2 linked regions of the Callithrix jacchus genome follow. The protein of the gene in region 1 binds, or shares a complex with, the protein of each later gene. Links are inferred from orthologs where the notes say so. Each region holds a gene or a part of one and is shown on either strand. Other genes may lie near its edges.

The links. Proteins that work in one complex are often made in the same cells at the same time.
Region 2: DRC9 (region 1) and DRC8 share a complex: the UniProt entries of both Homo sapiens proteins name them as parts of the nexin-dynein regulatory complex. The link is inferred for Callithrix jacchus from reciprocal best matches to the Homo sapiens genes DRC9 and DRC8.

Annotation. Positions count from the first base shown.
Region 1 is NC_133518.1:81,434,553-81,437,807, forward strand, and holds the end of DRC9 (dynein regulatory complex protein 9), read right to left. Parts: intron 2,862-3,255; coding exon 2,730-2,861; 3' UTR 2,418-2,729; coding exon of another isoform or gene 2,406-2,417; 3' UTR 501-2,405; downstream 1-500. UniProt on the Homo sapiens protein: Component of the nexin-dynein regulatory complex (N-DRC), a key regulator of ciliary/flagellar motility which maintains the alignment and integrity of the distal axoneme and regulates microtubule sliding in motile axonemes.
Region 2 is NC_133520.1:41,147,455-41,150,954, forward strand, and holds part of DRC8 (dynein regulatory complex protein 8), read right to left. Parts: exon of another isoform or gene 2,662-3,500; coding exon 2,582-2,661; exon of another isoform or gene 1,375-2,581; coding exon 1,332-1,374; exon of another isoform or gene 1,186-1,331; coding exon 1,119-1,185; exon of another isoform or gene 1-1,118. UniProt on the Homo sapiens protein: Component of the nexin-dynein regulatory complex (N-DRC), a key regulator of ciliary/flagellar motility which maintains the alignment and integrity of the distal axoneme and regulates microtubule sliding in motile axonemes.

The sequences.
Region 1 (3,255 bases):
AAAAATTAAAAAATTAGCTGGGCATGGTAGCAGGCACCTGTAATCCTAACTACTCGGGCAACTGAGGCACGAGAATCACCTCAACTTGGGAGGCGAAAGTTGCAGTGAGCTGAGATCATGCCACTGCACTCCAGCCTGGGCAACAGAGCAAGACTGCATCTTAAAAAAAAAAAAAAAAAAAAAAAACACACCATATTATGCAAGGAATAATTCTAGAAGACATTATATAATACAGTACTTGCAACATTTGCAACTTATTTTCCCTTAGGAGTAAATGGAAATTTCAACTTACTTCAAATTTTGCACATATTATGAAACATTCTTAATGTATTTTTATCAAAGTAAATCAGATTTGTATTCGAATTGTTAGGAAAAACTGCAGTTTTGGCTGGTAATTGAAGGAAAAATATCAAATACATTGATGTTCTCTTTTTTCTTTCAAACCCTCTGCAGAGGTATGAATTTCTTTTGTATCAAGACGCAAAAACAAATCACGATGCTTTTGTTGGGATAATTTTTGTATTCAGTATTTTGTATGTACCTTTTAAAAAAAAAATTGGAAAGCACAATTCAGTTTAACCTTTAGCTTTGCTTGACTCCAGCATAAGATGAAGATGACCTTGTCACAGTTCCGCTGACCTGAAGCAGTGACCTTCCCAGCACTGACAGTGTCAACAGGCTGAGAGTCCACCCAGCAGAGTCCTTGCCACTGACAGGTTTTCTGTCAGCAGTTTCCAGGATTTCAGACTCACAGTCTATGTTTTACACTCCATTGTTCTCTTGTAATGGCCAGGTCTGGAAACAACCATGGGAAGAGGGCCTTTGTATTCCTCTAGAACACAGAGCAGGAAGGTCTTAGTAGTAGACTACCTTCCTTAAGAGCTATTTAAAATACAGCTAATCGAGGAGTTTGCGATATTTCTTTCTACAGCTCGGCAGTGACTAATGATGTGTGACTCTGCTGATGAGTTTGATGAATTTGTAGAAACTACGCGCTTAAATGGTTATAGAAATGAAGGAAAACATAGATATTTAGAAGCATTTCTATATACACAGTGCAGTGAGATGGTTTACAGCAAGTTTCATTTTATTTCTGAAAATGTTGTAAACATGTAATTAGTGAAAGGTTTTGTAACAAAAACATTGTCCTGTATTTGTATGTCTGTAAATATATTGCATAAGTTCTAAGTATAAATATGTCAATATCATGTGTTATTTTAAATTGCCTGTATGCCACTTTATATGTTGATATTAAAATAAAAGCCAACACTTCAGTGGAGTGTAATAACAGCTGATTGGAGAATGTTCATACCTGAAATATGGTTCCCTTGGCAGAGGTGAATCAAGGAAAGGGCGTGTATTTCCAGAAGGAATGTCAGTAGAAACAGGGGCTTCAGGATAGTCTTTTGAGTTAAAATTGATTTTCTTAATGAAGTACAGATATCAAGGTGGTGCTTTAGGCCGGGCGCGGTAGCTCATGCCTATAATCGCAGCACTTTGGGAGGCCGAGGCGGGTGGATCACCCGAGGTCGGGAGTTCCAGACCAGCCTGACCAATAAGGAGAAACCCCGTCTCTACTACTAAAAATACAAAACTAGCTGTGCGTGGTGGCACATGCCTGTAATCCCAGATACTCGGGAGGCTGAGGCAGGAGAGTCACTTGAATCTGGGAGGCAGAGGTTGCAGTGAGCTGACATTGTGCCTTTGCACTCTAGCCTGGGCAACGAGTGAAACTCCATCTCAAAAAAAAAAAAAAGACTGCTTTATTTGGAGTGAGTGAGATAGAAGCTTAATTCATGAAATGTATGTGACACATTAGGGCAGCTTTTCTCTAGGAATGCTATAGGGAAACCTTAGCATCCCAAGATATTCTGTTTTGACTAATCAAGGCAAGAATGACCTGGTGGGCTCATTTTTTTTTCTAGAGGAAAAGGGAGAATGACAGTCAGCTCTCCTATGTGCCAGGCACAGGTTAGATATTTTTACACGCCTTGTCTATTTTCATCTTAACACTCCATCAAGTGGGAATTGTTGAGTAAGCAAAGCAGGTATTGGCCTGAGTGTTTCACTTGTCACAAATATCTCCAGACTACCCTTCCAGAGAACCTATGTCCTCATCTTTACAGTTTGTAAAGTTTTATATCCTAACATCCTATTTCTAGCTTGTATTTATAATTTGTATCCCTACCTATTTCCCAGAAAAGTTGTGGAAGCAGCTTATAATTGGATATGTATTCCATGCCGTTTTCACCCCAATAAAAACAACGTGAAGATAAATGTCAAAGGCAGGCAGGAACCAACATTTACTAAAACTTCGCTGTGTCTGTGTTATGCGGGACAGCTAATAAACATCATCTTCTAATTCCTACTGAATGCTTTTGCTCATCAGAGTTTTTTCACTACAGACAGTTGGGTAAAAGCGGAATCAGACATTACAGGAATTACTGAAGTTTTAATGCATTGCTGTTACTAAGACAATGAACTGCTTGGTTCTGCTGTGAAAGAGCAAGAAGAATGAATCTTCACAGGACTACCAGAAACTTCTTTACAGCAAGGTATGAGAAAGCCCTAAGTCAATGGTACAATCCTAAATCAGAGAGTGAAATCAGCAGGCTTCGCCTGGGAAACAACCTGTAGATGAGTCACCTGTGATGGTACAAGGTGCTTCTTACTCTCTCCACGCCCTTCCCACCTCCAGAGACCAGAGGAAAAGACAGAAGACAACGTGGTCACTTCTTGCCTCTCTTCCTCCCCTTGCCTTTGCCTTTTCCTTTTGAATCCTTGCTGTCAACTTTGTCTTTAGGCATCCTGAAACCACCAATTTCCTTCCGTATCATAGTGCCTCGCCACCAGGCCTGGATCTGGAAGAGGAAAGGGGGTGAGTACAATGTAAGTTGTACTCACTCACAGAGCGCCTGACAAGCTGCGTTCTGTCCACGTGAAGGATTGTTAGTAAAGTACCTTCTGTGTGAAAAACGGTCTCTGTGCAGCACATGGAAGTGGCAAGGCATGTAGTCACTATAGCCATGCTCTCCCGTCGTGCAGGACCTGGAGCTTAAGCCATGAACTCCAGTGCAGTTCTCAAGGAGTAAAAATGAAAGGAATCTGACTTGGCCTGTTTTTTCTTCATACTTGGAAATCTGACTTCCGCCGGGCACAGTGGTTCACACCTGTAATCCCAACACTTTGGGAGGCACTTGGCATTGTCTACATTTTTGGCCGAGTGTTTGCCTTTGCCCTTGGCCCAGGTAGCTG
Region 2 (3,500 bases), on another chromosome or scaffold:
TGATGGCGGTGTCATTCTTACTCCCACTCCCTGTATTCCCCCTAATGGATCACGCTGGAATGGTCAAGCCAGTTGTGCACGTAGATGCAGTCTTAGCTTTCCCTGCTCCAGATTACTTGCACTTTTGATTCTGTCTCAAGTGATTAGCAACTCTGAGTCATTCAGAACTCAATCTGTGAACCAGAGAGCTCTAGCTCTGTACAGGAGAAGGCAAGGTCACCAGTATGAGGATGGTTTCAGGAGACGACCTTCAGGGAAAACAAATGTACACATCAGCCTAGCAGAGGGAATTCCCAAGGAAATATGTTGGCATATGTAAGTGTGCAGGTATTATGTGTGTATATGCATATGTATGAAGGGCCATGTTCAAAGCATATATATATGGTTCCATTAACATTAAAAGAGGAAATGTTTAGTGTTAAAAATGACCTCATATTAAATTTAGGCTATATTATCTATAACTTCACCAACAGAAAAGCTTTTTAAAAAGGAATTTTTAAATTCCTTCAGCACTGTGGGAGGCCAAGATGGGTGGATCACCTCAGGTCAGGAGTTTGAGACCAGCCCGGCCATCTCTACTAAAAATACAAAAATTAGCTGGGCATGGTGGCCCACGCCTGTAATCCCAGCTACTTGAGAGGCTGAGGGAGGAGAATCACTTGAACCCAGGAAGCAGAGGTTGCAGTGAGCTGAGACTGCACTCCAGCCTGGGTGACAGAGCAAGACTCTGTCTCAAAAAAAACAAAAAAGAAAGAAATTTGTAGAGACTCCTATTCAGATCTTCAATCTGGGAAGAGGCCTTCATTTACAGTGATTGATAGTTCATGTTTTCCAGATGGCATATCTTTTATTCTGAAAATTCCATTCAGAATGACTGCAATTACAGAAGTAATCACTATACTTTACAAAATCCTCTAAGACAACAACACAGCTCCCCTTATCCTACTCTTCTTAACCCCCACAGAACAGAAACCATCCCCAAACCAAAACAGTAGGAACAGTAAATAACTTTCCACCAGAATGACTGATTCTAACGTCTCCCCATAACTTTACATGACTGCTGACAAATCATGAATTCCTCACGTAGGTCACTGTTGCAAGCACTAAATCACGCTTACCTTCTTCAGTCATGTACTTGATCAATTCGTCCTTAGTAAGAAATCCACGGTTAGCTGTATCTAAAACCTAGGGGAAAAGAAAAGATAGATATTCTATTTTTTCATTTGGTAAGTTCTACATGATGAATTTTTCACATAAATGAGCATACACGTGTGTATATAAATGTCTGTATTTATATACATGTATATGTATATAAGCTGGAGTGTACATACCTCAAAGGCTCGAAGAAGGACATCTTCTGGAATGGGTCTGTATCTATAATTATGCAATAGGTTGAGTCAGTGCCATAGTATTCACCATCGTCTCTGCGTAATAAAGCAGCAGTCTCCAACCTTTCTGGCAGTGGCGACTGGTTTCATGGAAGGAAATTTTTCCACAGACCGGGGTTGGGGGGATGGTTTGGGGATGAAACAGTTCCACCCCAGATCATCAGGCATTAGATGCTCATAAGGAGCACAACCTAGATCCCTCCCACGCGCAGTTCACAATGGGGTTTGTGCTCCGATGAGACTCTGGCACCAGCGCTGCTCTGACAGGTGGCAGCACTCACTCTCTTGCTGGTCACCTCCTCCAGTGCAGCCCAGGGGTCCCAACAGGCCAGGGACTAGTACCAGTCCATGGCCTGGTAGTTGGGGACCACTGGAATGAATAAATGACCACATAAAACAAACCAGGGCCGGGCGTGGTGGCTCACGCCTGTAATCCCAGCACTCTGGGAGGCTGAGGCAGGTGGATCACCTGAGCTCAGCAGTTCAAGACCAGCCTAGCCAACACAGTGAAACCCTGTCCCTACTAAAAATACAAAGATTATCTGGGCATGGTGGTGGGCACCTGGAATCCCAGCTACTCGGGAAGCTGAGGCGGGAGAATGGCTTGAACCTGGGAGGCAGAGGTTGCAGTGAGCTGAGATGGCGCCATGGCACTCCAGCCCAAAAAATAAAAATGAAGAAGTAAAAGCTGCTAACATACTGGGATGGTAATGCTTGCCTCGCTGAAATCTTGTTGGATTTCTGGATGTGAAAGTGGAGAACACCTCAGCCCCACAGGAAGTATTTAGTGCAAAATCACTGACATGTTTGCGGTTATCTATTAGCTTTTCAGAAATCAATTTCGGTGGGCACAAGACTTCCATGATGAACCAACTCTGGCAAGCTAATGCTATATTTGTGCTAGAAATATTAGGATTCTTTTTTATCATTGATAATTCAAAACAGAAGATAAGAATGTTGACTTATGATCTTTGTAGCTTATTTGCCCCCAATTATGCTTTGCTAAGGTTAACACGAATGTGTTTGATATTTCTAAGCATGTACCAACTGGCAGTTCAGAAGTATCTAGAAAGGTTAGAAGGAGGCCACCTTAGGAGACGCTGGTTGAACATAACATACGAAGGGAAAGAGCCAAGCGTCCTGAATGAATTCTGATCGTTGCGTTGCCTTAACAATTGCATTTACTTACTTACCTTCTTTCTAGTAGTATTTCTGTCATCACCGGAAGAAATTTTTCAAATCGAATGTATCCAGTGGGTTCTTCTTCCTCTATCTAAACATTCAATAAGTAAATAGCCATTTATCCATCCAACAAATATATTTTATTAAGATTTCTCTTTATCATTCATCTTGAACCTGTACAGTTGACACTCTGATAAGGGAGACATGCATTAATCAAGACACAGCAACAGGAAGACAGTGTGCTTGTAAATCCATGTAAGCACAGTGAAGGGAAGGAGCACGGGTCTGTAGGAACAGTCAATAGAGAACCCTCGGCCAGGCGCAGTGGCGCACACCTGTAATCCCAGCACTTTGGGAGGCCAAGACACGCGGATCACTTGAGGTCAGGAGTTCAAGACCAGCCTGACCAACATGGTGAACCCCCCATCTCTACTAAAAATACAAAAATTAGCTGGGCATAGTGGCACACACCTGTAGGCCCAGCTACACAGGAGGCTGAGGCAGGAGAATCGCTGAACCTGGGAGATGGGGTTGCAGTGAGCCGAGATCGTACCACTGCACTGCAGCCTGGGCGACAGAGTGAGACTCCATGTCAAAATAAATAAATAGAGCACCTCTTAGACCGGGAGGCCAGGGAAGTCATTCACGAGGAAATAACACTCCAGCTGATTTAGAAAGGATGAGTAGAAGGTAATGAGACGAAGACGGGAGGGAGAGACTCTCACAAAGAGGAAACTGCACGCACTGAGACTCTGCTGACACACTGGAGGCTAGGAGGCTGGAGTACAAGGAGCAACGAGAAGGCTTCAAGACGAGGCTAGGGAGAGGCAGGGCAGACTGCAGGGCCTCCTTGCCCGTGACAGTGATAAGGCTGCTGGCCCAAAAACAGTGGGAAATCACCGACGGTCTCGCTGATGCATGTTTTGAAAG